Canis lupus familiaris: one gene and its partners. The protein of the gene in region 2 interacts with the protein of the main gene of each other region in a pairwise test. Links are inferred from orthologs where the notes say so. Each region holds a gene or a part of one and is shown on either strand. Other genes may lie near its edges. The genes, in order: PRKAB2, UBXN11, RHOBTB3, EIF4E, EIF4E2, TLE5 and USHBP1.

Region 1 (4,925 bases), on a different chromosome or scaffold from region 2:
CAAAATGTCACCAAATAAAATAATGTGGGTTAAAAAAAAGGATTAACTTATTCACATGGGCTTTACTTTCAAAATGGCTAAGGTAGTCTACTTTCCATATTGTCTCTCAATATTCCTCAAAACTATACTAATGAGACACCAGTAACAGCATAAACTGAAGTAAACAGAGAATTGAAGGGACTTTCTCACCTTATGTAAGGAAGTGACTTAAGTGAAAACCTTGATCTCCATATTCCTAAAGGAATGCACCTTTGTCTGACTGGCTGCATTAGAATTACAAAAATTTTTACATATGCCTAAGAATAACTCAGATTCTGGTTTACATATGGGACCTAGGAACCTGTTTTTAAAAAGCTTCACAGAGAATATTATTACTGTGATTATGTTAAACAAAGGAAAAAACCTCAACTTTACAGATACATCCTAAAATATTTACAGATAAAATAATATTTGATAGGATGTCTGGAATTTGTTTCAAAATATTTGGTAGGGGGAAGTGGACTGGCATAGGCATGACATAAATTTGTTCAAATTTAATCATTGTTTAAACTGGGTGATGGGTATATAGGAGTTTACTATACTACTCTAACTACTTTGAAACATGGAAAATGTCTCTAATTTTCCATACAGTGTTTAAACAAATTTTAGGTGATTCTAATGTGCAAACAGGGTTGAGAACCACTGACCTAGTCCACTGAAGAGGACTGGCATTTGAAGCAATGTTGACCCCACTGCCACTGTTTCTATGAGTCACTTTGATGATTTAGTATTTTCAATTTCGAATTTGAAAGCTACAAACTATTAACATGCCCGGCTTTGGAAGAAAGCCCTTCCACATATGACATGACATTTCCGTGGCAGGCCTGAGTGCAGCTGACTAGCAGAAAGACCATTTACTCCAAGTTAAATTGTCAGCAAAATCATTATGAAAAGAGGCAAAACAATGAGAACTACAGTTTGAAAATATTTAAGTAAAACAATGAAGGAAGAAGTAAAGAGACTAGATTGAGAACTATAAAATTTTACATGTATAAGAGACCTTAGGAATTATCTGAACCAATTTTCTTACTCACAAATGGCAAGACTGGGGTTAGGGAAGGAAGGAACCAAAATAGGCTCCATTTCAGATGGAGCAACCTGGCTTTTATTCAGCACACCAATTATTGCAGTCAGAGTTTGACAAATACACTGTACTTAAATCCTGAGTCATTGACATAGGAAAAGGGTAAAATTAGGAGGTGGATCACCTTGAGAAAGCTTCTAAGGAAATTCAAAATGACTGGCTAGATGGCCCAAATGCTGAGAAAGAAGTTCTAAAGTGGGAGAAGGAAGAAAGGAATGGAGACGAAACCCCAAGATGGTGCTTTTAACCACCTTCACTTCTTTTTCTGTAGTTATGTTTTCAACTGGGATTCAAGAAAATAAACAGAATCCAAATTTCATGTGCTACCAATGGGGCAAATCATTTCTTTACTCCCTAAAACCCCAATTTGGTGAAAGGTTTGAAGTGATAAAAAAAAAAAAAACATCAAACACACCTGAATCTCCTCAATCCCTCCATTTTTTCTACTTCCTCCCACTCGGACTGCCTGGAGGGATTATTGTTATTTCATGCTGACAGCTCTAAATGGGACTAGAAATATTCGGATGGTAATCCCATTGCAGTCAACTCCATCTAATCTACGGGTGGGCACAAGTTGCCGCTTTTCTGGAAGTCCTTGGATTTGAGAGCAAGGTCTGCCTGCCCGGCAGCTGCGGGTTGTCCGTTTTCAGCGATGGTAACATCACGAATTCCTACTGGAAGAGGAGAAATCCTGGATCGTTTGCTCTCCCAGTTGACCAGTAGCTGGGTGTGAAGAAGGAAGCACCTCAGCCAACCGCAATATAAAGGATGAGATGAACAACTGAGCAGTCAGCCAAAGGAAGTCCTGTACTGATCTCCAAGACGAGGAGAAAGTATCAAATAGGCAAGTGGCTGCTGCTCACAATCCTGCCAAAGGGGAAGAGGATCCGAAGTGCTGGGTTCTTAGAGGAGCAAAAATGATACTGATACCTACAGGTTATCAGAAAAAAAGAAATTCGTTTGCCTACCTCAGGGTAAACCTGAGAAACTGTCTCAGATGATCAGCCACTCAGGCAACCTACCGTCTTTGAAGTTTTCTACCAGGGTCTATAGGGTTTACAACCCATAAACTCATCACTACTCTCCAAGAGGGCTCCTGCCTGTTCGGAAAACCGGGGATGGGTGTGTGTGTGTGTGTGGCGTTGTGGGGGGGGGGGGGGGACGACTCTACAGTCCCCATCGTAAAAATATGGCCAGCAGGTCAGGCGAACGACAGAAACCCCGCCTCTATAGTATTTCGAGGCAGCGCCGCAGGCGTCAGTTACCCTCCAACATCTCCGTCCCCCCCCCCCCCCCCCCCTCCCCAGCCCCATCCCTTTAATTCAGAAAACCGTAACGTAGGTCGGTGGGATGAGGAGGAGCCCGGAAGGGGAGGGGGGCTGGGCCGCCGGGGCGCGCGCGGGGAGACTCACCTTGGGGTCCGGCAGGCTGAAGACGCTGGGGTCGTCCGTACTCCCCACCATGATCTTGTGCTCCTTGCCCGGCGCGTGGCCGCCGGCGCCCTCGGCGCGAGAAGCCTTGGCGCCGTGGCGCTCGCCAGCCACCCGGTCGCTGGTGGTGTTTCCCATGGCTGTAGCTCGAGTCGGGGGCCACCTGCCGGGGCGAACCACGCGGGGCTTTAACACCCGGCGGCCGCGTCAGGGACGCCCCCCGCTCCGCCCCTGCGCCTGGGGACCCGGGCCAGGGAATCCCCGCCCCAGGGAAGCCGTGCCCGGGGTCCCCTCCTTCCTCGGCCTCCGGCAGCGCCCGCGGCCCCCCACCCCCCACCCGCCACCCGCCACCCGCCTCTCGACGCCCGCCGCTGGGGAAACCCGCTTCGGGGAACTCCCCGCATCCCCGCGTTCACTGCCCGGGGGAGCCCCCACCCCAGTCACCTCCCGCGATGCTCTTCCTCCTCCCCTAGCCACTCGCGAGATGGCTGTTCTGCGGTTACGTCCACCAATAAAGTTATTGAAATTGAAGCCGCGCCCCGGGCTGGAGATCCGGGTTTCCTCCTAAAATGGCTACGAGGCCAGGGGCGCCAGGCCCGCCCCGCGCGCGTTCCCTACGGCCGCGCGGCGACGGCTCCCGAGCTCGCGGCCTCTCTAGCCGCCGCCGCCGCCGCCTCGGTGGTGGGCAGCCTCTCGCGCCAGGCGGGGGCGCCCGCTCCGCGTTGGCCTCGGGCTGGGCGGGGCGGGGCGGGGCGCGGGCTCCGCCCACCCGACCCAGAAACCCTGGCGCGGTCAGCCGCGGGCCGGCCTTCCGGAGCAGACGGGCTCCAGGGACCGCAGGGCCGCCTCCCGGCCTCAGGCGCTCCGTACCCGGAGAAGCGGCGCTGCCTCCTTGCCGCCCGCCTCACCGGGCTTCAGGTTAAACAGAACGTTCTCTGGGCAACCCGGACAGGTGGGTTCCTCCAGGGATTTAGAAACAGAATTTCCTCCTGGAATCAGAAGGAAGTAGTGGCGACTGCTTGAGGTACCTTCCAGCTGGCTGCGGTGGGGAGCAGCCTCGACTGGGGCCCCAGTGAGGAAGGAGTAATTAGGCGAGAAACCTTGACAGATGCGTGAAACTGGTCTGAAGAGGAGGAGAAAGCTATTCTGAGCTAAGAAACCGCGAATGCAACGAGCAACCCCAAAAGAAATGCCATTTGAGGAAGACCAACAAGAAGAGAAGGAACAGTGAGAGCAGAAAAGGACAGAGATTGTCCTCGGGTTGGAACGGATCTAGGTTTTTGCTGATGATTAATGGAACGTGTATGGTATTTACTAATTCATTCTTTGTGTTATAATTATGTGCTTTTCCGATTCCCTAGCGGAAACCGTTATCACTCAATGTGTGTGACACAGACCAGCAGCTTTGCCATCACCTGGGAGCTGGCTAGAAGTGTAGAATCTGAGGCTCTATCCTACAGGATCAGAATCTGCATTTTAACAAGATCCTCAGGGGAATGTGTATACATATTAAAGTGTCAAGCACTGCTTTGAAGGCTGGCAGAGAGCAAGTCTAGTTTTGATTCCTCTTCCTGTTCTGCATGCATCTTGTCCGGAGTAAGCTTTTAATAAATATTTGCACAGTGAAGGGTATAATACCGTTTACTACATTTCTAACAAGATAATACCACTTAAACAAACAGCGATGGGGGAATGCCACGTCGTACAAGGCCACCCTTTTTGAATGAACAGCTTTATTTTGTTGAAAAGCTTATTTTTCATAAAAAAAAAAAACCATACACTTAGGTTTGACAAATTCGCTTCTCTGCCTTTTGTCTTTCCTCTGCCCTAGTAAACTCAGAGATTCTCTGGTTCTTTTTTTTTTTTTTTTAAGATTTTTATTTATTTATTCATAGAGACACAGAGAGAGAGAGGCAGAGACACAGGCAGAGGGAGAAGCAGGCTCCATGCACCGGGAGCCCGACGTGGGATTCGATCCCGGGTCTCCAGGATCGCGCCCTGGGCCAAAGACAGGCACGAAACCACTGTGCCACCCAGGGATCCCAGATTCTCTGGTTCTTAACCAAAGACAGTTTGCAGAAAAAAGAATGTTGCGGATAACATTTTTACTGTGACCTTTTGCTCCTCCCTCCAAAATCTCCACTGCCTGGTTACCTCCTTTTTGGTCCCTACTGTTCCCCTCTCTACCACTTCCGTTCATTCTTTCCACTGCACTCTGCAGCAAGGCCTCTGAAGGGAGTAATACATTGAATCTTGTGTATTATTCAGGTTTCTAACCACAGGGTAGCTTCTCTATGCCAAATAATAAATAGGTCCTTACAGTAGTCAAATCAGCATAGCAGAAGCAAACCAGATATTATATTGGCGAGTGG
Region 2 (4,154 bases):
GGACCCGTTCCACCCTCTCTCCTCTGGGAAGCTGCCCCGTGAGCTCCATCTGGGGACCTCTGAGATGAGTATCACCACAGCTCTTTGGGGAGGGTGCAGGCCAGGCAAGGAGGGCTGTCTGGGGACCGTGGGCTCACTCACAGCAGGCCACAGTAGGTCTGTGCCTCTCTGGGCTTCCTTCGGCTGCCCCCTCTCTGAGACCTTCTCCGGCTGCTAGGGACCCAGACCCTTTTAGGCCTCTGTTCTCACCTTGCCTACTCACAGGGGCACCTACGCCGCCATAGCATGAAGGGATGGAGATCCTTTCTTCTGAGCCATGTCCATTATTCAGCACGTCCACCTCGTCTTCTGCAGACAGGGATGCCCAGGTCACTGCTCTGGGGCTGAGGCCCAGAGGAAGCTGGGACCCTGGGCTCTGGCCTGGATAAAGCAGCCTGGATGCTGTACTCCCAAGTGTATGTGAATAGAACATGTGGGATGTCAGGGAGCAAGGATCCAACCAGAACAGGCTTCTTGTAATTCTGACAGCCTGGCTCCCGGGAGGACTTGAGTAGCCAATGCCAGCCACACGGTGGCAGCAAGAATGGGGTTGGGATGCCAAAGTCTGAGCCTGCAGGAGGCAGGGCAGAGAAATGAGGATGGGGCTTCTGGGAGAAAAGGTGGTAATGGGCTGGAGAAGGCTGGGGTCTGACCCCTATGGCTTCTCGGCACCCACTGGCCCGCCCCACAGTAAGTGGAGGGGTTCAAATGCTAGCAATGACATCTCTTCTAAGGGGGTGCGCCTCCTAATCAGAAAGCTGCCAGGAAGCCCTGTCCTCGGGGAGGGATGAGGGAGCTGCAGGTGGGCCAGCTGCTCTGGTTGACAGGGGTGATCATCCTGTTCCTTCTCTCCATCTGCACCCCAGGGAGACCAGCAGGTGGGAAGTGAGGGGGACACGAGGGCAGAGCCCACACTTACCATCTCCGTAGAGTTTTATCCCTCGCCTCCTAGGAACCCAGGCAGGAAGGAAAAGACAGATAGACAAGTTAGGACCCTCTGGAATGTCCCAGGGGGTCAGTCTAGGTGCCCAGCCAAGCCTAAAGGAGATGGAGGCTGGGCCTCTGCCTCCCGAGGCTATCTCCTTCCCAAATCGCATCCTCGGCACTGGGCAAGCCAAGGGACAGGCTTTGAGGTGTCCCCTCCTCCCAGCAGAGAAGGGCGGGGAAGGGCTGAAGGGCAGAGGTTTGGGTGGAAGACACAGAGCTCCCAAGCCCAGAAGCCCAGCCCCAGCTGTGTTTTAAAATGACTGTGCAAACCCCAGGTGGGTCCCTTGACTGCTCTAGATCTCCCCGGCCTTCAAATGACTCAAAGTGGTGTTCAGAAGAGCAAGAAGAGAGGTTAAAAAAAAAAATGCTTCAAAAGGATGAAGTGCTAGACAGATGTAAAGCGTTCTCTTCCTGAGGGCCAGCACGTGGCTGGCCCAGGGGAGCCCTACAATCGGTGTTTGCCAATGAACACGAGAACGATGAATAACCGGGTGCCGCGCCGCTCCCACCCAGCCCACACCCTGCTAGACGGCACAACCCAGTGTTTGCTCAGACGCCGCAGAGCCTCTCTGAAGAAGTTAGAAGAGAAAGATACGGTGGTCAGGGAAGGCTATGTGACTCCTCACCTTTTCCCGGAGACACTAGGAGCCCTTCTCCTAGTCCACTGGGCTGAGAGGAGGCAGGGGCATGAACATAAATACCCCCTGAGGCTGGTTCCTTACCCTGGATTCACAGGCTCTGACTGCAGGGGGACTCTTCGGGTCTTGCCAAGGGAGGCCAAAGGTGAGCTCATAGCTCTACTTCTAGATTCTAGCTGTCAGGAACTCCCTGAGAAGATGGAAGGAAGTCAGTCCCAGGGGACAGAGGGAGCCCGGGGCTTCAGGATCAGGGAAACTTCCTCTTCCCTCATTTCTTTTCCCAGGAGGGAGCACTGTCCAGGGAGCAGCACCCCTCACTTCTTCCCACCGCCCCTGCAGAGGTTTCTGGAGGCAGGTTGGCCTCACGATCCGTGTACTTGACGTCTGCTGGATCCTCTGGATATCTTGCTTTCTGCTCTGGCCCTGGGGGCCCCTGGACTGGCTGGGAAAGGGGGATGGGGTACAGAGATGGGTCAGAAGCCTGGGACTTTCCCAACTTACAGCCGGGTCACCAGATTACCCAGAAGGCCTGGGGCTTTTAGCCATCCTTCAAGGAGCTGTGGACACAAAGCTCAAGTGTCCTGTTCCCTCCTACAGGAACTCAGCTGTCATTCTGACTCTCGGAGCCACAGAGGAGCAACCCAAGGGCAGGATTCGACCAAGGCACAGTCTGTGTGGTAGGGAGATCAAGAGCCAGGCTCTGCCGTCCACCAGGTAACCCGTGCCTTGGTCTCCTTTGATATGGTGACAGTACCAGCCAGGTAGGGTTAACAAGAGGATTCAGAGATAACACACATAAGGCACGGAGCCCAGTGCCACACTGAGGGGAGGCACGGAAAAATGTAAACTGTGGGGGCGCCTGGCTGGCTCAGGCTGGTGGAGCCTGCAACTCTGGATCTCAGGGCTGTGAGTTTGAGCCGCATGTTGGGTGTAGAGATTAGTTAAAAATAAAAAAAATTTGGGCAGCCCTGGTGGCTCAGCAGTTTAGTGCCGCCTTCAGCCCAGGGCGTGATCCTGGAGACCCTGGATCGAGTACCACGTCAGGCTCCCTGCATGGAGCCTGCTTCTCCCTCTGCCTGTCTCTGCCTCTCTCTCTCTGTGTCTCTCATGAATGAATAAATAAAATATTTTTTAAAAAATAAAAATAAATTTTAAAATTTTAAATAAAATAAAATCTTTTAAAAAAGTTTTTAATGTTATGGCTTTTGTTGCTATACACTGAGGACATTCAAACATGTTCATTCCCTTCCTTTCCTCTTCCTTCTGGAAAGATGAATGCACATCAGTGATGGAATTAAAGGCCAACACTAGGGCAGCCCGGGTGGCTCAGTTGTTTAGCACTGCCTTCAGCCCAGGGTGTGATCCTGGAGACCTGGGATCGAGTCCCACGTTGGGCTCCCTGCATGGAGCCTGCTTCTCCCTCTGCCTGTGTCTCTGCCTCTCTCTCTCTCTCTCTCTCATGAATAAATAAATAAAATCTTTAAAAATAAATAAATAAAGGCCAACACTATTCAGTGAATTAGTACATTATGTGGCTAAATATCTACAAATCCTAGAACCAGAGGACCCCCATCAGGGCCTGAATCAAGCCTTTTTAGGACAAATCCAAGGCAGTTTCACTTTGAAAATGTATGGCACTGGTTTCCACCCCGCCCCTGAAGCTGCCCGGCATGGAGGCTGGAGGCAGCTTCTCAGTCTTCATTCCGGAGTTTGGGTCTCATACCCCACCAGGTCTAGTGTTGCCTCATCCCTACCATCAGCCTTCCCAATCTGCCCCTAGCCTCCCCCTAGTCCCTGCTGTCTTGTCCAGGCATCCTAATGGTTTGTGTGGCACCAAGTGCAATAGTCCCTCATGGTTCCCTGCTCCAGCATCTGGCCAGAGGGATCTTCATAAACATAAAGCTAACACGTTGGGGTGCCCGGGTGGCTCAGTGGTTGAGCATCTGCCTTTGGCTCAGGTTGTGATCTCGGGGTCCTGGGATCAATGCCCACATCGGACTCCCCACAGGGAGACTGCTTCTCCCTCTGCTTGTCTCTGCCTCTCTCTCTCTCTCTCTCTGTGTCTCGCATGAACCTCCCAATGGCTCCTCCTCACCCAGAGAAAAGAAATTCAAAATTCCTTAACATAGATGATCAGGTCCCTGCCGATGCCTCCTAACCTCACTCCCCCATCTCCCCCTCTTACACTCAAGCCAGCCTGGCCTCAAAAGCACTGGCCTTGGCACATGTGGCTCCCCCAGCCTAGAACCCCTTCTTGGAATAGCATCCCTACTCCTATCTTCACCCTTCCCTTGGTTGGGCTAACTCCTCTTTTTTTTGTTTTTGTCTGTTCTTTAGTTTTAAGTTTTTTTTTTTTTTAAGATTTATTTATTTATTTATTTATTTATTTATTTATTTATTTATTTATTTATTTATGATAGACACACAGGGCGGGGGGGCAGAGACATAGACAGAGGGAGAAGCAGGCTCCATGCCGGGAGCCCGATGCGG
Region 3 (4,817 bases), on a different chromosome or scaffold from region 2:
AACGAAATTTTATTCTACTTCACTGTGGGGCTGCAGATACAGCACCTACTAAGTAATAACACTGCTGGCTCGGTAGATTGTATTTGTGTAAATGTTGAATGATGTGCAGGAAACTTTATTTTTGCTTAGTATAAGCGATACATGACTATACTAACATTGTAATAAACACATTGTTGTTTTTATAGGAGCTACCACTACTGAATACCTACTACATGTCGGTTTCTAGCCTAAAAACTTTACATATACTATCTCATTTATCTCATCTACTCTTCAGCATTGCTCTAGGAGGCAGGGAGTCTTTTCATCTTATACATAGGAAAAATAGGGCTAGGTGAAGATAGTTGACTCACCAAGGAAAGCCACTAAGTAGCAATGTAGGGATCTGAAATATCCAAACCTGTGCTGTTTTGCTATACTGAATATACTGTTTCAGTACACATCAAGTATCAGCTGATAAATACAGTCAACTTGAATATCTCTGATGGACTTTTACTTACCACTAAGAAAAGAGAAGCACCTTACAAAGAGAAGCTCTATAAGTATGTTCCCTAATGCTTGAAGATCTTTATAACCCAAAAACATGTACCAAAACTTAATGCCTTAAACAGGACCAGAGTCTAAACACATAAAAGTTGATAAGCAAGATAAAAAACAACGCTGAGTATAAGGCAAAAATCTAGACTACAGAGGCTTATTTTAATACATTTGGAAGATTTCATTTACTACAATACATGGGATTACAAGTACTGTTTTTTGCTAAATTAACAACATAAACAGGAAAGAGTTAACAGCTCAAAGAAAAAAAACAGGAAAGGTAATCCTAACATCCTAATTCAGTTTATTTTCTCTACATTTATTTACTTTATTCACTCATTTGTTCCAATTTACTTATTTACTCTATTCACTCATTCACATCATTTGTTCAACTGCATGTAAACCCAGTAAGTTTTTAGACTGTATGATTTTTCACAATGAAATGGCCAAAATAAAAGAGGTATTTCATTTGCTCGCATGGAATCCAGCCAGTAAGTTCTTTACCGATGCTTCTTAAGATTGGCATCATCACTGTCATAAAAGGGAGTTTAATGCCATCCCACTTATTGAAAACAAACAAACAAACCTGTTTTTCATTTATTTCAGCTCATTAACAGAAATATCCTTTAACTGATCATTTGAGGTAGAGATCTTTTCTTCCTGTAATTTGCATAAGTAATTTTTCTACTTACATTCCACACATTCCTTTAGAAACGTGTATTAGTTCCCTATAGCACATAATTCAGCTTTTTAAAATTGCTGTTTAAATGTAAAATCTTGGGGATCCTTGGGTGGCTCAGCAGTTTAGCGCCTGCTTTCGGCCCAGGGCCTGATCCTGGAGACCTGGGATCAAATCCCACATCAGGCTCCCTGCATGAAGCCTGCTTCTCCCTCTGCCTGTGTCTCTGCCTCTCTCTGTGTTTCTCTCATGAATAAATAACAAAGTCTTTTTAAAAAAATGTAAAATCTCACATAAAGATAATTTACACTCTTTTTCAGACACTAAGCTTTCTTCTGTTATAAAATACAACCTTCAAAAAAAATACAATCTTCAGCTTTAGTTATAACTCCAAAAGCAGTAAAGAATCAGAAATTTTCAAATAAGATTTAGTGAAAACATTTAAATAGTTACTGTGTATTATTATACTGCCTACTGAAAATATTTGTGTCAAAGAGTCCTTTCTCCTTTTATGAAGCACTCAAGAATCAGAGTAGAATTTTATCAACTTCAGAATATATTTTCTCCTTTTATGAAGCACTTAAGAATCAGACTAGAATTTTATACTTCTTTTAATTATTGCAAATTTTAAAGCTTTCTGAAAATTCCAACCAGCGTTCTTATTTCTGATTTATGAGTCACTGAAAACAAATAAGCTAATATCTCAGGAGTATCCGCATTATTAAAATTAAAAACGCTAATTAAAATGTCCAAAGGGGGATAGCTTTATAAAGGAGTGGTTTAAAATCCATTCTCAGCTCCTGTGTCTTCCTCTCCTTTCCAGGGGTCCTAGTCCTGAACTGTCCCAGTGAAATTTATTTTTGCTTGAGTTAAGCTTACAGAGGACTTTATTTTTAGAACACTAATATTACACTATCACCCACGGGGTAGGCATGAAAAAACATTGCTCTCTGCTGGTGAAGCTTAGTGACCCTGTCCCTGGGGGTTGTCACAGTCAACTGCCAGCTACCAAGGGACAGCCTACGGCGGCGAAGCATACGAGTAAGTGCTCCATGTTGCCACTGGGGCTTTTTTCACCTTCCACGACTGTTCTCCCCCAGGGCTGCCCCCTGCCTGGGGAAACAAAGGAAGACAAAGATTTGCCCCCAAATGTCTAAAAACTCTACCCAGGTGACCCAGCCGGTCCACATCCATGAAAGAGGAGAGGAGAGAGGAGGAGGAGGTGGGGGGGGGGGGGGGGGCGGGAAGCAGAGCCCCGCCGTCTGGGCACGGAGCAGCTGCCGCCGCTTACCCAGACGGGACAGTCGTGGACCACCAGCTTGACATTCCCGAACGCGCTGGCCTGATACTCGGTGAACACCGGCCGCGCCACCGTGCTGGTCGCGCTCAGCAACAAGCTGCTCTCATCCCCCGAGACCAGCGGGCTTCTCCCCAGGTAAGTGCGGATGAGCCCCGACGGCCGGCTGTCCTGGTGAAACGCGTCCCCCTCGTTCCCCAGCGCCACGATGTGGATGGACCTGCACCGCAGAGAGGGGGCGAGGGCAGCAGGCGCAGTCCGAGCGGGGCAGGCGGGCGGGGTGGGGAGCAGGAGCGCGGTCCGAGCGGGACCCGCCGGGCGTGGGGGGGGGGGTGGGCAGCAGGCGCGCGGCGGGGAGCAGCGGGGGCCCCTCGGGCCGGGGGGGGGCAGCAGGAGCGTGGCGGGAAGCAGCGGGGGCCCCTCGAGCGGGGGGCAGCAGGCGCGCGGCGGGGAGCAGCGGGAGCCCCTCGGGCCGGGGCGCACGGCGCGCGCCGGGGCGCAGACAATGGCAGGACCGCGGCGCGTACGTACATGATCTCGGATGCAAGGGCAGGGCGGCGACTCGGAGGCGAGCGGCTCCGGCGGCCTCTCGGGGCCCGGCGGCGGCTGTTTCCCCGCAGTCAGCTCATCCCCGGCCGCGTCCCCCTCGCGCGCCTCCACCGCGGCGCGGCCGACGCAGAGCGGGCCCCCGCGGGCGGGGACGTGCGGGCCGGGCCGTGTGCGCGCGGCCAGCCAGTCAGGAAGGGCCCGGGGCCATCCCGCGCGGCCCGCCGCTCCCGCCTCCCGCCTCCCGCCGCCCCGTGGCCGGGCGCCGCGGCCGCCGGTCCCGCCGCGCTCCCTGGGCCGGGCAGCTGTCGCCTCCAGCCGCCGCCGCCGCCGCCCCTCCTCCTGGCGGAGAGCGGCTCCGGAGAGAAGCCGGGGCCTCCGCCCCCTCGGCGGGCCTGGCGGGCGGGCGCAGCACGTGCTGGCCTCGGGGGTCGGGCGCGCTCCCCCCTCCCCGGCCCAGGCGGCGGCGCCGGGTACAAAGGAGCAGCCCGCGCAGGGCCCCGCGCAATATAAATTAATAAATGCAGCGCCCAAGCCGGAGATCTCCTGATCGCCGATCCGCCTGCAGCAAGTTTGCTCAACTCGAGAGGCTGTAACCGGAGCCGGGGGAAGGGGGTGGGGCGCTGAGGCCCCCGCTCCCTAAAGCCTGGGGGAAGAGGTTAGGGAAGCTAGGCGTTCAAGCCCGTTGGCCGCTCCGGCAGCCCCATTCCCCCCCACCCCCCTTGGCCTTGACGGAAAATGTTTTACCACGTCTGCCGCTTTGTCATTTGTCAACATGCACTACAGCTGTTTTCTAAAATCATACTTGTGAGAAAAAAAAAATAAAGGCAACATTCATGCTAGTGTAGAAAGGGGTCTTTGTTCACACACCAATTAATTTGCTAACATCGCTTTTGAGGGATTATTTACTATTTCAGGCTATATTTGGCATATTTTACCAAAACTGCAGGGTTAGGTTTTTTTCTTTTTTCCTTTTTTTTCTTTTTTTTTTTTTTAAGTGCTGGGGTTCTTACTGCGATGGTTTTAAAAAGAAGTTATGTGTGGGGTGTTTAACTTGTTTACAAGATGAATGCTAGCTTACTTGGAGGTTTTCAGTACACGTTAAAGCTACATATTTAATTAATAGATCCTTAGACCAACTGAAAAAATAACGATCATGCTTAATGCAAGGATACTTTAGATTCTTTCATGATAACGCACTGAAGTAAAGGTTATGAATGTCGCTAAAGGGCCAAACTAACTTAATGCAAATGAACACTGGAATTCACTAATACCGAGAAGAAGGGCCAGAGGTTATTGTGGGACTCAGCTTCTCCATAAACATGAAAATTCTCACAAGTGCTCTGTGTTGAGTTTTTTATCCCTTTCCTTATTTATTTTTGGCCTACTTTAAAATTTCTTTTCTCAAAAGAGCTATTTTGAGGATATGAGGTACTGAAGAAGTATTGAGGTACTGACTAGGGCAGTGAAAAGACTAGGGTAAGAGGCCTTTGGAATGTGAACAGCTTTTTATGATGGGCCCTAGTTGCTCAGTTGGAAGCAGTATAATACAGTTTCTCATGCTCATAGCGTACAGCAAGAGGCATTCTTTCTGTAGTCACTGATTTTTTTTTAAATCTAATTTTCCTCGCTCTAAGTATAATTTCTCTTTTAGTCTCTACAATATAAGCCATCCTGAAATATTTAAGAGTATAGGATCACCTTTTCTCTTGGGTCAACAGAAAATATATTTTCTTGTCAGTCCCCTCAAGTAACCATAGG
Region 4 (3,137 bases), on a different chromosome or scaffold from region 2:
GCTTGTGTCCCTGCCTCTCTGTGTCTCTCATGAGTAAATAAATAAAATCTTTTTTAAAAAATAAAATGAAATAAAATGCTACAATTATATTTTATATATAAACCATAATAAATATATTACTGCAAATCACATTTACCACACTTATTACTTTATGATATTTCCAGAGTAATTTAAAACATACATCATTTCTGCCTTCTATACTAACTCTGCAACCTAATTTTCAAATAACATGTGACTATTTTAAGAACAAACTATGACGAGTGCCAACGTGGGTAAGTACAGGGGCTGTGATATTGTATAACAAGGATGATCTAATCTTGTCTGTGAAATTAGAGAAATCTCCCCTTTAAAAGTCATGAGGTTAAAAGTAAAATGCTGAGAGAATGAAGCACATCTGAAGGCTGGGGAACTAAATAAGGCTGTGTGGCTACAGCTCATAAAGAAAGGGACTATGAGTTAAAAAGGTTAAATAAAACTGAGGCTAGATCACAGAGAGCATCACAGGTAAAGTTAGGGATTTGGACACTTATTCTAAAGAAAAGACAGCAAACCTTCAAAAATAAGCACCCAAATAAAATAAAAGACATACATTTATACATATTGGAGCTAAATTCTCCAATATGATACTAGGATAGTTTTATTCATACTCATACCTTCCAGAAGATTCTACTACCTTCCTACAAATAAAGTTTCTAAAAATAACTTTCTAACTAAAATAACCATTATCAGATTTATATGAGGATACAAAGTATTCCCTTCCATTACACTTAATCATAAAAATGCCAGAAAGCCAGAGCACTCAGCCATGTAACTTGGGTCAAAAAAAAAACAAAAACAAAACAAAACAAAAACAAAACAAAACAAAATAACCTCCATTAAAAAACTGAAGTCAAATATTTCACAAAGATTTCAATAATTTTAAATACTGACACAAATACTATATTTTCAGAGGAAAGAACTTCATACTTATTTTTTAAATTGTTTTTTTAATAATCAAAACTATTAAGTTTTGATGCTGAAAGGTTAAGAATATGATGACAAATCAACTTTTTTTTTTTTTTTTTTAGATTTTATTTATTTATTCATGAAAGAGAGAGAGAGAGAGAGGCAGAGACACAGGCAGAGGGAGAAGCAGGCTCCATGCAGGGAGCCTGATGTGGGACTTAATCCCGGGTCTCCAGGATCAGGCCCTGGGCTGAAGGCAGCACTAAACTGCTGAGCCATCCAGGCTGCCCTCAACTTCTCTTTTAGAAAAAACCTGGAAAATCTCCATTATCTTTTAATCTAGAAAGGAATTATGTTCATAGGAGAATTCATATTGTTTGAAAACAATCACGAAGGGCAAACCAAATATTTTGTGACCTATGACCAATACTTAATTTTAACACAAAATTAAAAGTCAAATATTACTAATTTAAAAGTAATAAAAAGAGGATCCCAGTTAATACTGATCAATGCTTGGGGGATAGGGAAATTCCAGGCAATTATTCACCATGCCCCAAATTTAAAAACTTACACATGTAGGTTTTTAAAATATGGACACAACTAAAATACTATCACTTAAATGTCCCTGAAAATTTTACACACATGTGCACAGAACAGACATTTAAAATATGGACAGAACTAAAATACTATCATTTAAATGTCAGTCACTGAAATTTTTACACACACGTATACAGAATATATACTATTTGCCAATACTCCCTGAATTACTATTCCTATGAGTATTGTAATACTAATGTTACGATTTTAAAGTAGAAAAAAGACTTAATATTCTCATAGGATAAATAAAATGCTACATGCCAATATAGAATACTTTGGTCATTGATTACATACTCCATTGCGAGGAAAATGAAATTAAAAAAAAATATGGACAAGACAATGAAAACCAATAGAGCAGGTTCAAGATTATAAGTTTTCATGAAAACAATACAAGGAAAATAATGATCTACAAATCCAAGTGTTTTTAAAGTTGTAACAGTACTTTGCTTTTAGTTATCTTAATATTTTAAAGGAAGTATAAAAATAGCAAAACTTACCCTATATGTGTAACAGCCTCTCTGTTTTCACATTCAGTAGTCCATATTGCTATCTTATCACCTTTAGCTCTAACATTAACAACAGCTCCACATACATCATCACTGTAGTCATCAAAAGATTCTCCAATAAGGCACAGCAGCTTTAAAAAAATTCAATCCCAAATTACATGAAACAAATTATTCACTGCTTATTAAACTACAAATGTTTCTTATATTTGTATATATACAAAACTGAAAACAGTTTTTAAACCAAAAGTTGACTTTTTCAATGTCTAAATTATATTTATGTATATTGTTCTTTGTCCTGACTTTTTAAAGATTCATTTCTTTGTTTAATATCAAAAACATTAACAGATGATTTTAACTTTTTTTAGCAAATGGGGCAATTGATGTGAGGGCACATATGAAAGGTAAATTATGTTAATATTCAATTGCTCTTCTGCTTCTACTTGCCAGCAAACAAATAATGGAAGGACTGAATAGTTGTGCAAGGTTAAATTAACTGCCTCATGATCTTGCCGTTTTTCATGAACACAGGTTTTTTTTTTTATTGTGGCAAATATATATAAAATTTACCATTTTAATCGTTTAAATAACGTTTTTTATTTGAGGATAGACAAAATATGACATTAAATCACTTAACCATTTTTAAGGGTATGGTTCAATGGCATTAAGTATACTGACAACATTGTATAGCTATAACAATCATCCATCTCCTGAACTTTTGTCATCTTACAAAACTGAAATGACTAATTTTTAAAGTGGAATTCTAAATGGTATTTATTTACTGATAATCTCCAAAAGCAAAATTAAGTTTCTTCATTCAAAAAAGAAATTCATGCAAATATTCAGTAACTGCTTAACTCATTAAGTGCTAACTATAAATGAGACACTGTGATGAGTGCTACGAATCCAAGAGACTATTATTCCTACTCCTAATAGCTTAGAGCTTTTAACTTCTCACTATAGAAAATGCCAATTATCTCATATTTAATATATGTCTTAAAAAGCTGGAAGTTTTAGATTATAGTACAATACATAAGGTAAATAATATCAAGCTATGCTTTCATTGTTTGCTTCACTGACCTAAAAAATTTA
Region 5 (4,781 bases), on a different chromosome or scaffold from region 2:
TATAAGCATCCAAGACTCTGCTGCACAAGTGACCTTTCCATTCATATGCATTTTTTTTTTTTTTGGTCATTGATCACAGAAGAGTTACTCATGTCATCAGGGACAAGCAAGGGTCACTATTTCCCCACGTTTCATTTGGGCAGATTGGGGCTCCAAGTGAGAGAGGGGGCTTCCCAGAACACTGATGGCTAGGGCAGCCATCATGAGAGCCTGTGTCTCTCATGAATAAATATTTTAAAATCTTTTTTAAGATTTTATTTACTTATTCATGAGAGACACAGAGAGAAAGAGAGAGGCAGAGACACAGGCAGGCTCCACGCAGGGAGCCCGGCGTGGGACTCGATCCCAGGTCTCCAGGATCACACCCCAGGCTGCAGGCAGTGCCAAACCGCTGCGCCACTGGGGCTGAATCTAAATATTTAAAATCTTAAAAAAAAAAAAAAAAAAAAGAACACTGGTGGTTAAATAAAGTTTGGAATGCAGAATTCCCAACCCAATTTTAGACACTCCCAAGAAAGATTCGGTGGCCTGGAAAACAGACCCCTCTTCCTTCTCTTCTCAAAGGGCGGCGGAGCATTTGCACTGGTCTCAAAGGATGCTTAAGACAAGGAGGAGCTGGGCAGAGAGGCTGGGAGGTGATGGGCTGGGCTTTCCCTTCCGGCAGGAGATTCTGGATCCACTTAGAAAACAAGATGCCCAGCTGAGGTCTTCCTGGCGGGAGAGGCAAGGCCCGGCTTTGAGAATACAGCTGGGGCCCGAGTTCTGTTGGTGAGGAGAGAACCCGAGCAGGTCATTTGTGCCCTCTGAGCCTCTGTTTCTTCATCTGCAAATATGGGTTCGGATTTCCGCTTCCTACCTATCCACCCCCATCAGAGGATCAAAGGTGCGGGTGACAGTGAATCAAAAATGTGCATAAGGGGCAGTCCCGGTGGCGTGCGCCTGCAGCCCCGGGTGTGATCCTGGAGACCCGGGATCGAGTCCCACGTCGGGCTCCCTGCGTGGAGCCTGCTTCTCCCTCTGCCTGTGTCTCTGCCCCCCTCTCTCTGAACAAATAAATAAGTCTTTAAAAAAAATGTGCCTAAGACCTGACAATGGGACATCGTGGGGGCGGGGGGGCTGGTAATAACCGCCTTCCCCAAGCACAGGGGTGCTGGCTTGGGGGCTCCACCAGCAGCAGGTTCGCGTCCTTAACTCCCGTGCGCGCCGCCCCTGTGTCCCCGGAGCAGAGGCTTCGGATCCGGGAGGCGCTCGCTCCGAGCCTGGCGGGCCCATCTGGGGTTCCGGTGAGCTTCGCACTAACTGTGTCACCTGGCGTCGGTCTCTCCACATCTCCGACCGCCTCGGGGGGCGCGATGAGCTCCTTCGCTCCCCCGCACAGGTCAGCAAGACGGAAGACTCCGCGCGGGCGGCTGCGTCCGGCGCCGGACACCGGCGGTCCGGTTCTAGCCACACGGCGACCCGAAGGGGCGTGGCCGGGACCCAGGAGGAAACAGCCTCGGGCAGGTGAGGAGCGAGTCCAGGACGGTGCAGCCGCCCCCCGGGGGGTGGGGGTGTGGAGTCGGGGCGCCCCCTCGGACGTGCGGCGGGGACCCAGGCAGCCTCCGCGCAGCCGCCGCGCAGCCGCCCGGGGCCGGCGTCCCGGGATACCCGCCCCGCACCGGACTAGCGCGCAGACGTTCCGCTGCGCCGCGCGCAGCCGGAAGTGGCCGGGCCCTAAACTGGGGGGCGGGGGGGGGGAAACCCGGCGGAGCGGAAGTCACTCCGTGAGGCAGTGGCGACGGCGGCGGTGAGAGGATGAACAACAAGTTCGACGCGTGAGTGGCGCGTGGCCGCCCCGCGGGGCCCCTTCCCCCAGCCGTTCCCCCCGCGCCCGCCTCCACGGGGGCTGGCAGCGGCGAAACTCCCCGGCGCCGTCCTGCGGCCTGGGCTTGGGCTGCGGGCCTTCGCGGCCCGGGCGGCCGGCGGGGGAGAAGGGGGGCTGGGGGGGGAGGCGTCATGCAGGGGTGCGGAGCGGGGTACGGCCCCAGGGCGACGCGCGGGGTCCCGGGAGGGGTGGCCGCGCCGCCCGGAAGGAGATTTTTGGACGCCCCGCCCCGGTGGGTGCGGGTTGCCGGCGGCGCGGAGGGGCGGGGACGGCGGCGACGGCGGCGGTTTTGGGGTGTTGGCGCAGCCCGGCCGCCCTGCCTCCGGACCCGGCGGGGGCTCCACGCACACGCTCTCCCGCCCGGGCAGCTCGCCTCGCCCCTCTGAGTCCGGGTTCTCCTCTGCAGAGTGGGGACGGTGACAGCCCGGGCCGGAGAGTGGTGAGGATGCAGTGAGGTAATGTGGCCGTTGGCGCCTGCAGGCGGCTCAGTTACGGAATGCTCCCGGCCTTCGCGAGGCTCCTTCCTGCTTCCTTTCTCCTCCCCCTTCCCCCCCACCCTCCCCGCTCCAGCACGCTCCGCAGGAGCTGCCCCTGTTCTGGTCCCCCGAGCACCCCCCTGTCATTGCCCCCGTTTCCACCTCCCCAGTTCCAGCAGCATCGTTTGGGGGCGCAAAAAAAAAAAAAAAAAAAAAGGAAATGCAGAATTATTTCTTTGCACGTTTCCCTCTAGCGATTGTGTCTTGAGGCAGGTTATGTGCTTCTAGTAAGCATAGTTGATCTCTAGGGACCTAGATTCCCAGGTCCAGACCCACCAGTTTACCGCTTCTATGCCCGTGGAAGAGTCACCCACCCATTGTTAACGTAAAGCACGTTAGCGGTTGGGGCCCTGCTGCTGCCCTGGTGTGTGAGGATCAAATCGCGTTCAGCAAGTGCTTAAAGGGACTTTGTAAATTGCTAATAGGGAGGAATGTAAAGTGGCATCACTGTTTAGGTTGTGACCTGCTGCTGATGGGAAATTGTTTTTTTTTTGGAGTTTTTTTGTGTGCCCCCCCCCCCCCCGCCCCCCAGTACAATGAGTGCTGGTTTGCACTTTCGGGAGTCCTGGATTTCAGCGCTCTAGGCAGCTCCTCTGGAATGTGTTCCTGGTTGCTGAGAAGTCTCTGGGACTTGGAAAAAGTCTTTGGCTCAACGTTCCCCCAGCCTGCTGCTTAGCTGAGCCCATCTCAATAGGAACAGCCACACTTCCCACCACCCCCCCCCCCGCCATTTGCACCCCTTATATCTTAAATCTTTGCAACACCAAATTCCAGATCTAAGTCCTCCCTCAGTAGAGCTTTCTGTAAATGCTATACCTCTTCCTCCACTGAATTGAACAGATCAACATTGCATCTTAGGAAGGCACTTTATGGGTCAGCTAAGCCGAGTCTTGCCCATATCATTTGGGGATCTGCGGTAAGCTAATTTAAGAATGATAGTAACAGGGGATCCCTGGGTGGCGCAGCGGTTTGGCGCCTGCCTTTGGCCCAGGGCGCGATCCTGGAGACCCGGGATCGAATCCCACGTCGGGCTCCTGGTGCATGGAGCCTGCTTCTCCCTCTGCCTGTGTCTCTGCCTCTCTTTCTCTCTGTGTGACTATCATAAATAAATAAAAAATTAAAAAAAAAAAAGAATGATAGTAACAGGTTTCATAGGAATCTTGGTAGATACTTTTCATATGTTATTTCTACTGCTAACAATTCTGCTAAGGGGATCATGTTACCTCCTTTTATAGATAGGAAAATGAGGCCCTCTGAGGTTAAGTAACTTGCACACGAAAACAGGAAGGTGCACGTAGCAGGATTCAAACCCCGGTTTGTTTAACCTTGGTTCAAGTAACTCTTGACAAAAATTAACCTGGGTCATTTTTAATTCGTTATAATTATTAACTATGCCTTATAATGACCCAGAATTTTTTAACATCTCCTAGGTATGCAGTTAAAAAAACAACAACAAAGCTCTCATTTATTTGAAATTAGCAATTAGAGACCACACTCCTGCCCCTAGTTTTTATTTTTCATGTAACAAGTTTGTAGGGTTTTTTTTTTTAAGTTTGTTTATTTAAATAATCTCTACACTCAGCATGGGACTCGAACCCACAACCCTGAGAACAAGAGTTCCTCTGACTGAGCCAGCCAGGTTCCCCAAAAGTCTGCAGTTTTTAGACGTTTTAGTTGTTTGGCTTCTGTACTCTTTACCACGTGGTTCCTAAGGACTGGTTCCAGTTTGCCAGTATCCTAAAAGTCCAGTGCCTAGAGCTGGGTACTGTAGTCTAATCTGATCAGCCCAGTTTAAAGAAGAGCTCTAACCTCCTGCATGGGCTCGATTTCTGAGAGTGTAATCTAGGATTATAATTGCACCCCACCCCCTACATCTATCCAGTCAGTTAGCTACCACTGTCATTGACCCTGTTGATGTGTGAAACCTTAGGATGATTTCACTATTCTGCAGTCCCAGACTGTGATTACCTTAGTTTTCAGATCTAGATGCCATACTTGATTTTGTTACTGTTCTCTCTTTGCTAGTTTTTGGCCCTTTCTTACAATATTGGCCGAACCACCTGTTGGCTCCCATCCTATTCTGCCTTGTATTGCTTTGATTTTAGAAGTGCATTCATTAAACATGTTTGTTGTCTGCCTCGGTCTCATGCTGGGCATGTAAAGATGAATTAATCTAAGTTCCTATCCACAAGGAATTGGTCTACTTAGAGAGCAGTGTGAGGATAAACCTGGGCAGAGGTTTGGTGAGTTGACTTGGAGCCACTCAGTCTGGATAGCCTTAGAGATGCTAATTGCCCTCCTGAGTCTGGAGCACTGATTTTTAGTCCTGATTGTATCTTGGCTCAAATCCAGCTTCAAGCTGGAAGAGTAGCCTCTGGAAG
Region 6 (3,524 bases), on a different chromosome or scaffold from region 2:
GGCAGTACAGGGAGGGGCCTCACCCTGCTGTGGAATTCCCAGCCTGAGTGAGTCATTTCGTGGGTGAAGACGTCAGATATGCCAAAGGCTGCACCAAGGATCTTTTTTTTCCCTTTCTTGCTTCTGCCTTTTTCCCTTCTGAGATCTGTGTGCCAGGCCCCTGGGGGCCGCCTCAGGCCAGAAACCAGGGGCCGCATGTTCGGGGAGGGCACTTGCACACACACGTGCACACAGAGGCAGGCGTGCACGGGCTCAACACAGATAGATGAGGCTCGCACGCGCACCTGCAGACACAGGTCTGCACGCACATGAACGCAGGGACGCGTGGACACGCACCCCGGGGAACCACGCACTGAGCTCTTGCTTTGGCTTTTTGTTTTTTGTTTTTTAAGATTTTATTTATTTATTCCTGAGAGACACAGGCAGAGAGAAAAGCAGGCTCCCTGCGGGGAGCCCAATGTGGGACTCGACCCTGGGACCCCAGGGTCACCACCTGAGCCAATGGCAGATGCTCAACCATTGAGCCAACCAGGCATCCCGGCTTTTTGGGGTTTTAAGACCGTTGGTGTGAGGCCCATTCCATCACCGGAGCCATTCCTGCCCTCTGCCAGGCTTCCTGTCCATAATTTATCATTTCCTCTTGGATTCCTGACCATGTCTTGGGGCCCTTTGGGTAACCTGCTTGCCCAGAGACAATTCCAGAAGGATACTATGAAAACCCTAGAGAAGGGGGTTCTTGGGGCTCTGATAGACCTAGACTTGTGCTTTCCTTTCATGACAGGAACTTCTTGGTAGGCAAGGCAAAAAGGGAAACTGGCAGGAGAAACAGACTTTCAGGGAGTGCTCGGGTGTGGGAGGGATTGCCCTGAACCCAGAATCCACTGGGCCTTCCCCAGTTGTGCAAGGAGAGGATCTTGGATTAGCAGATCTCAGAGGCACAGGCTGCAGGCTCTTAGGATCAGGTCTTCTCTGTATGGTTGGCCAGGTTGTGCACTGTTCATTGACTCCTTTGCACATGGCATTGAATAGGTCATGGTCCGGGGTTTCTCTCAGACTCCCCTAATGGCATTTTCTTCAGTATCTGGCACCAATCCCCTTGGGTCTTCTTGAATCTGTCATTTGTCCCCATTTTCCAGAGGAAGAGACTGGGGCTTGGTGAACAGAAGCGGCTGGAGGGAGGGGTTTTTCGGGGGCAGGGAGGGTGGCTCCTCTTGGGCTCTGTGCCCCAAACCTGCACAGAGATCGGGGCACAGCACCTGGCTCCTCTGTCTCTACCCCATCCCCCTTCCAGCACCAGCAGCAGGTCTTGGGAGCCATCGAGAGGGCTAAGCAGGTCACCGCTCCCGAGCTGAACTCCATCATCCGAGTACGTCTGGGCTTTGGGTGGCCTTGGGTGGGCCTTGGGTGGGCAGGGGCCCCAGGCAGCTAATGCTTCCCTCCGTCTGCCCTGCAGCAGCAGCTCCAAGCCCATCAGCTGTCCCAGCTGCAGGCCCTGGCCCTGCCCCTGACCCCACTGCCCGTGGGGCTGCAGCCACCCTCGCTGCCCGCCGTCAGTGCCGGCACCGGCCTCCTCTCGCTGTCTGCGCTGGGCTCCCAGGCCCATCTCTCCAAGGAAGACAAGAACGGGCACGACGGTGACACCCACCAGGAGGATGACGGCGAGAAGTCGGATTAGCGGGTGGCGGGGTGGGGAGGGTGGGGGGGCGAGGGGACACAGACATGGAGAGAGGAACATTTAGCGCAAGACACAGTGTAGCTCGGGATTGGCTGAACTCGGTAGTATTTATGGTAGCCGCCTGCTGGGGTCCTAGCCCTGCCTGTGTGCCACCCCTAGCTTCTCACACCCCCGGCTCCAGCCTCCCTCCTCCTCCTCCCTCTCCCCTCCTCCCCGCCCCCCCTGCAGCCGGAGTGGGCCAATACCTGCCCATTCCACCCGGGAGGTAAGCTGAGGCCTGGAGGCGCACAGGGGAGGCCAGGCCCGAAGACAGCAGAGCCTCCAGAAGCCCAGCACCCCCGCACCTCCCCGCCCGCGCCCGCCGGGCCCCTCAGGGCGCGCCCCCAGCCTCCCACCCTGGCACTGCATGCAAACACCACGCTAGCTGCCCCTTCCCGCCCTGGGCACCCCGCGTCCCTCCCCCCTCACTCCCCTCCTCCTCCGCAAGGCTAGTTCCAGAGCCCACGCCCACCGCTCCTCTCCCCTGCAGGAGAGGGGGCGGAGAGAGGGAGCCTAGCCAGGCGCAGGGGTGGGGGCGGGCGGGCGTCCCAGAATTCCCTTTCTCCCCTTCCCCAATAAAGATGAGGGTACTCAAGTTGTCTTGGTTTTTATTTTATTTTTTTCCTTTTTCCAGTACACTAGCTTGTCTTTTAAGAAAAGGGATATTTAAAAAAAAAAAAGAAAAAAAGGACAGAAAAATGTTTTAAAAAAACAAGCAACACCCACACCTGTGTCTGTATATAGCCTTTTAGACTTGTCAGCTTTTGTTGTGTAGAGTCGTTTGATCGCTGCGGAGAGAAGGGAGACTGCTGTACCGAGGGTGGGCTTAGCTGTGCCTTTCAAATAAAGATGTGAGAAGGTTGGTTGCCTTGTTCCTGCCTCTGTGTTGTGGGCTGCCGCGGTGCCCCCCTTCCCAGGGGAGGAGGGGGCTTCCCTCGTGTCTGAGCTCCCTCCTCCTGACGGGCCGGATCCGGAGAGTCCCCGTGGGGGTGGGGGGTCCGGCCTGTCCCTGTAGTCTGTCTCCCGAACTGATGCCCAGACCGGAGGGGCAGCTGGAGGCTCTGGGTCACACAGCCCGGCCCAGGGGCCTGAAGCGGAGCTGACCCGGCTTCCCATCCCCAGGCCAGAGGGCTCCTCGGTGCCATTCTTTTCCCTTAGACACCAGACTTTGAGCCCGCAGGACCCACGCCCACTGCATCCCCACTCTGCCCATTTGGCCAGATCAGAGAACACACAGCGCCCCCCCCCCAGCTGAACCAGACCCTCCGAGGACCTGTCCAAGGCGTCCCTGCCACGCCCCAGCTGGACCACCCAGGGGAACCCCAAGGAAGGCTATCAAGAGGCCTCCGGCTGCCCCCCCAGGGAACGGGGCAAGGCTGAGGATGAGGCAGGGCGGGCAGTGTAGATTGCAGACCCTAAGGGACCCGGGCACCCAAGGGACTTCTGGACTCCGAGAAACTCCCACCTGCCCCAATCCAGTGGGTTCCCAGGTTGGACCAAGGGCACAGGGAGGGGGGTTGGGGTGGACTGCTTACCTCTGGGGAAGTGGCTCAGGTCCCCGAGGAAAGAGAGGCCGAGGGGGGGCGCGTGACCCGATGGTCCCACCAGCCGCCTGCTGTGCCCCAGCAGTCCACCACCGCAGCCGGAGCCCCTCCAGAAATGCCAGCGTGCTGGGGTCCCTCCCTGCCTACCAGTCATCCTTGTGCCAAAAGCCCAAACTCGCCCAGGACCCTGGGAGAGCGTAAACCTTTTGCAGCGCCAGTTGTCACAGCTACTTGGAAGGCTACCTGGGCCCCACCTCGCGATTCCC
Region 7 (4,193 bases), on a different chromosome or scaffold from region 2:
ACTTATATTTGGGATCTAAGATAAAACAAAACGAAAAATTGAACTCACAGTTATAGAGAACAGAGTGGTGGGTGCCAGAGGCAGTGGGGGTGAGGAGAGGAATGTGGGTGGGGGTGAGGAGAGGAATGTGGAGCGGGGATCATCTTTCCCAGCCAGGAAGTGGGCCCCACCCCTTAGGCTGGGCTCTGGTGGCCCCATATCTTGCCACCTTGGCCTGCCCAAGATGAGGGCCTGTTCCCCCATCTCCTTCAGCCACATGGCTTTAGATTCCATCCACATGTTAAAGAGGTCGGGATGTGTTTCTCTTGTCCTGACATCTCCCCTGAGCTCTGGATTCTGACCCCACAACTGTGTCTTTGATGGTCCTACATGGGTGGCTCAGGGGTTTCTTGAACTCATTAGGGTCCCAACAGCTCCTGGTCCTGCATTTCTGGCTCCCAGTCCCGCAGGCCCCCAAACCAGGACTTGTCCTCAACCCTTCTCTGGCTTTCACACCCAAACCTGCCAGCTCCACCTTCGACACCACCCAGAATCTGCCCACTTTGTGCCACCTCCACAGTTTCCACCATCTGGTGTCTGGACCAGTGCCTCGCGGATCCGCCGGCTGTTCCTCCCATGCCTACCAGAGGGCGCCTGTGACCGCGGCACCAGGTCCCGCCCCTTTCTGCCGCGGGAGGGCGAGGGTGGGGGGGCGAGGGGGAACCCCCCAGGAGCCCACCAGGCTCAGGGCCAAAGCCCAACTCCCAGAAGCCCACAGACCGTGTAAATCTGCCCCCATCACTAACCTGCCCTCCCCTCACCCCCACACTGGCTTGCTCACTGTTCCCTGACTCACACTCCCACCTCTGGAAGGGAGCTCCTTCTCCGCCTGGCATGCTCTTTCCCCAGATCCTTGCATGGCTCCTCCCTTACCTCCTGGCTCAAGTGTCACCTCCTCAAGGGGCATCTCTGACCACCTTATCTAAGAAGGCAAGGCACCTTTGTTCAGGGCTCTGCAGCAGTCAACGCTCCATAAAAGTTTTTCTCTTTCTTTTTTTAGATTTTATTTATTTATTCAGAGGAGACACAGAGAGAGAGGCAGGCTCCCTGTGGGGAACCTGATGTGGGACTCGATCTCAGGACCCTGGGATCATGACCTGAGTCAAAGGCTCAACTCAAGTCAACCACTGAGCCACCCAGGCGTCCCTCCGTAAGAGTTTTTCTAATGAACAAACAATGGAAGGTTGCCTATGCCAGGCCCGCCTCCCCCTTAGACAGAGAACCCTCAGAGGTAGAGCACAATACGTCGAGACCCTCACCTCTCTCTGCAGCATCTCCTTCTCCCCCTGGATGGCCTGCAGGGAGGCCTGCGTGCGAATCAGCTCCTCCTCTCGGCTGCCCAAGGCCAATCGTAGCCAGTCATTCCTCTCTGCCAGGCTGGCTGCCTCCCTCTGGCAACCACTTGCCCCCTCCTGCTCCAAGCAGGGCCTTGGTCCCACCTCACTTCTGTCCTCTGCCTCCCCGGGCCCAGGACAGCTGGGGGGCCGGCGGCGCCAGGCAGCCGCCGCCGCCTCCAGGGAGCTCAGAGCATGCTGGAGAACCTGAAACACGTCAGAGGCTTCAGGCCTGGGGGGGACAGTCTCCCCATCCTGTGGAGCTACATCTCTGGCCTGGTGGCCTTCCTCTGCAGGCTTGCGGGGTCCCTCGGGAGATGGGGCCAGTCCTCTGCTAGAGTCCCCCTCAGCCTCTTTGTTGGTCCTGTGGTGAAGTGAGAGACAGAAGGTTCTGGAAATGGGGTCATCTGGGGTGGCTGGCTCACAGAGGGTGCATTATCCGGGGCCTTGAAAGTTGGGCAAGGAGGGCAGTGGGAAGCTACGGCGTGTGTGTGAGCAAGGGAGGAACACAGGTAGATCTGTGGGGAGGAAAGACACACCAGGGCCGGAGTGGGAGCCCAGACGGAGGGGACCTTACCTGTTCCCAAGGCCCTGCCCACTGGCCTCTGCCTCTGGCCCCTGCAGCCTCGGCTCGCAGCTCTCCTGAGATGGCACAGGGCCCAGCTCAGAGCTCCCGCTGGCTGCCTCAGCCTCCTCTGAACTCTCCGCCACGGGATCCAGCTCCCCCTGAAAATGACCCACAGGGCCAAGCTCCGAGCCAGGCCGGGGGCGAGGGGGTGAGTGACCCCAAAGAGCTGGATGCGGCAGGGAAGGGGGCACTTACAGGTGGCGCGTGCCTCCCTCGCCGGCTTCGGGGTCGCGTGGCCCGGGCACTCATTGCTGTCCAGAATTCAGTCCTCTGATTCTTTTTCCGAAAGCCGCAGCCTGATCTCGGCTCTTGTCTTTGTTGGTCTGGGCGAATGACAGCCTTAATACCTTCTTCTATGAAATGAGCATCGATCTCCTCCCGCTGGGAGGGATCTTGAATTACCAGTGTTGAGCTGGCACATTTGAATACCCCTCCTGACAGGCAGCTCACTACCTCACAAGTTTGTTCCCACCTCCCCTTGTCTTTTGCCTCCTTTATCTTTCACTACCTCTGTGCTCCCCTCGGTCCCCAATCTGGACCTGGCTCGAGGACTTCAAGAATCACCTCTCCTCCCCAGGGTCCTCTTGAGTCGGAGGCCCCAATCTTGGGGTTGGGTCCCCTCAGCCTGCTCTAATGCTACTCCTCTGTACCTCTAGGAATACCTTGGTCAGCAGCCCAAATCCCTGGACACTCTTGGGGTAGCTCTGGCCACTGCTTGCTTAGGCCCCGGGCTGGCCAAGGCTGGCTTGGGAGAGGCCGGGAAACAGGAAGCCCCCTCCCCTGGTCATGTGACTTGTTATTGTGCTATTTCCTCCTCAAGGACATCAGCTTCCTCCAGTCCCGGTGGGACACACATGTCCAGCTCCTGACCTGTCGGTCCTTCCTTGCCCCAGCCTCCAATCTCATGTCTCTTCCGCCTCTGAGCCTCAGTTTCCTTATCTGTAAAATGGGGGGGGGGGGCTTTAATTATAGGATCTGTCTACAGTGTCATGGGAATTTTAACAAGCAACTTGCACATGACTGAGCACCATCCAAGAACTGAATTGTAACACACCACTCTTGTTCGCTGCCTCTCCGGCCCTCCCATCTCTGCTTCCTCTGCCAGCTGCTGCTTCTCCTGGATTCCTCAGGGCACAGATCGCCCCTACATCCTGCCCATTTTTCCTGCATCCATCTCTAAAGGGCCTCGTCATCTCCCTCCATAACAGCCCAACCCTCTCCCCTCTACCGGGATGCCAGCCCCTCTCTCTCCGTGGACTCTACAGCCACCCACCCCTTGACTCCCTTCCCCTCCCAGGCCCCAGAGACAGAGACCTCATTGTTCACCTCTTCTGCTCACACACCCTCCATGACTCCCCATTGCCCTTGGGAAACATTTCAAGCTCTTCTACCCGGCATTCGAGGCCCTTAAAAATAATGCCTGCTGTCTGCACCCATGTATACTCCATGCTTTAGCCATGATGACCCCTCTGTGAACAGGTGAAGGTTCACAATTCTCACATCCCAGGGCCTTTGGTTATGCTGTAACCCTTTCCTTGTTTCTGCACTTGGCTTATTTTTTATTTATTATTTTTTAAAGATTTTATTTATTCATGAGAGACACAGAGAGAGGCAGAGACATAGGCAGAGGGAGAAGCAGGCTCCCTGCCGGGAGCCCGAAGCAGGACTCAATCCCAGGATCCCTCGGGATCAGGACCTGAGCTGAAGGCAGCCGCTCAACCACTGAACCTCCCAGGTGCCCCTACACTTGGTTTAAACTGCGCAGAGCCTGGAGTAGCCTGAATCTTCCTCATTCCGCTGACAGACAGAGGAGGCTGAGTCTTCCTGCTTCTGCGTCCCCAAAACTGGTAAGGAAATAAGTTGCAATTCTCTGACTTGGGGGCACCCAGGCACATTGAAATCTACACTCTTAGCCTCTGCTCCAGCCATTTTTTTAAAAAAAGATTTTATTTATTTATTCATGAGAGACACAGAGGCAGAAACAAGGCGGAGGGAGAAGTAGGCTCCCCGCGGAGAGCCTGATGTGAAACTTGATCCCAGCATCCTGGGACCACCACCTGAGCTGAAGGCAGATGCTCAACCACTGAGCCACCCAGGCGCCCCTGCTCCAGCCATATTAACCTCTTAAAGGTTCCATCGCTCCAAGGCTCTTGCAAGTCTCAGGACCTTTGCCAAGGCGATTCCTTCTTTCT

Evidence for each region.
Region 1: the proteins of UBXN11 (region 2) and PRKAB2 interact in binary tests that used the Homo sapiens proteins (3 or more experiments, as listed by UniProt). The link is inferred for Canis lupus familiaris from reciprocal best matches to the Homo sapiens genes UBXN11 and PRKAB2.
Region 3: the proteins of UBXN11 (region 2) and RHOBTB3 interact in binary tests that used the Homo sapiens proteins (3 or more experiments, as listed by UniProt). The two-hybrid records come from large-scale screens. The link is inferred for Canis lupus familiaris from reciprocal best matches to the Homo sapiens genes UBXN11 and RHOBTB3.
Region 4: the proteins of UBXN11 (region 2) and EIF4E interact in binary tests that used the Homo sapiens proteins (3 or more experiments, as listed by UniProt). The link is inferred for Canis lupus familiaris from reciprocal best matches to the Homo sapiens genes UBXN11 and EIF4E.
Region 5: the proteins of UBXN11 (region 2) and EIF4E2 interact in binary tests that used the Homo sapiens proteins (3 or more experiments, as listed by UniProt). The two-hybrid records come from large-scale screens. The link is inferred for Canis lupus familiaris from reciprocal best matches to the Homo sapiens genes UBXN11 and EIF4E2.
Region 6: the proteins of UBXN11 (region 2) and TLE5 interact in binary tests that used the Homo sapiens proteins (3 or more experiments, as listed by UniProt). The two-hybrid records come from large-scale screens. The link is inferred for Canis lupus familiaris from reciprocal best matches to the Homo sapiens genes UBXN11 and TLE5.
Region 7: the proteins of UBXN11 (region 2) and USHBP1 interact in binary tests that used the Homo sapiens proteins (3 or more experiments, as listed by UniProt). The two-hybrid records come from large-scale screens. The link is inferred for Canis lupus familiaris from reciprocal best matches to the Homo sapiens genes UBXN11 and USHBP1.

What each region holds. Positions count from the first base shown.
Region 1 is NC_049238.1:58,294,269-58,299,193, forward strand, and holds the start of PRKAB2 (5'-AMP-activated protein kinase subunit beta-2), read right to left. Parts: upstream 3,165-4,925; 5' UTR 2,998-3,164; intron 2,993-2,997; exon of another isoform or gene 2,909-2,992; intron 2,717-2,908; 5' UTR 2,692-2,716; coding exon 2,536-2,691; intron 1-2,535. UniProt on the Homo sapiens protein: Non-catalytic subunit of AMP-activated protein kinase (AMPK), an energy sensor protein kinase that plays a key role in regulating cellular energy metabolism.
Region 2 is NC_049223.1:73,114,831-73,118,984, reverse strand, and holds part of UBXN11 (UBX domain-containing protein 11), read right to left. Parts: intron 1,855-4,154; 5' UTR 1,820-1,854; coding exon 1,749-1,819; intron 988-1,748; coding exon 959-987; intron 442-958; coding exon 250-441; intron 1-249. UniProt on the Homo sapiens protein: May be involved in the reorganization of actin cytoskeleton mediated by RND1, RND2 and RND3. Promotes RHOA activation mediated by GNA12 and GNA13.
Region 3 is NC_049224.1:13,913,728-13,918,544, forward strand, and holds the start of RHOBTB3 (rho-related BTB domain-containing protein 3), read right to left. Parts: upstream 3,197-4,817; 5' UTR 3,044-3,196; coding exon 3,042-3,043; intron 2,731-3,041; coding exon 2,505-2,730; exon of another isoform or gene 2,468-2,504; intron 2,255-2,467; exon of another isoform or gene 2,149-2,254; intron 1-2,148. UniProt on the Homo sapiens protein: Rab9-regulated ATPase required for endosome to Golgi transport. Involved in transport vesicle docking at the Golgi complex, possibly by participating in release M6PRBP1/TIP47 from vesicles to permit their efficient docking and fusion at the Golgi.
Region 4 is NC_049253.1:18,848,193-18,851,329, reverse strand, and holds part of EIF4E (eukaryotic translation initiation factor 4E), read right to left. Parts: intron 2,180-3,137; coding exon 2,040-2,179; intron 1-2,039. UniProt on the Homo sapiens protein: Acts in the cytoplasm to initiate and regulate protein synthesis and is required in the nucleus for export of a subset of mRNAs from the nucleus to the cytoplasm which promotes processes such as RNA capping, processing and splicing.
Region 5 is NC_049246.1:44,367,860-44,372,640, forward strand, and holds the start of EIF4E2 (eukaryotic translation initiation factor 4E type 2), read left to right. Parts: upstream 1-1,761; 5' UTR 1,762-1,794; coding exon 1,795-1,814; intron 1,815-4,781. UniProt on the Homo sapiens protein: Recognizes and binds the 7-methylguanosine-containing mRNA cap during an early step in the initiation. Acts as a repressor of translation initiation.
Region 6 is NC_049241.1:56,593,308-56,596,831, forward strand, and holds the end of TLE5 (TLE family member 5), read left to right. Parts: intron 1-1,291; coding exon 1,292-1,366; intron 1,367-1,453; coding exon 1,454-1,675; 3' UTR 1,676-2,577; downstream 2,578-3,524. UniProt on the Homo sapiens protein: Transcriptional corepressor. Acts as a dominant repressor towards other family members. Inhibits NF-kappa-B-regulated gene expression. May be required for the initiation and maintenance of the differentiated state.
Region 7 is NC_049241.1:45,884,159-45,888,351, reverse strand, and holds the start of USHBP1 (Usher syndrome type-1C protein-binding protein 1), read right to left. Parts: upstream 2,801-4,193; 5' UTR 2,664-2,800; intron 2,383-2,663; exon of another isoform or gene 2,325-2,382; 5' UTR 2,251-2,324; coding exon 2,197-2,250; intron 2,100-2,196; coding exon 1,951-2,099; intron 1,738-1,950; coding exon 1,299-1,737; intron 1-1,298.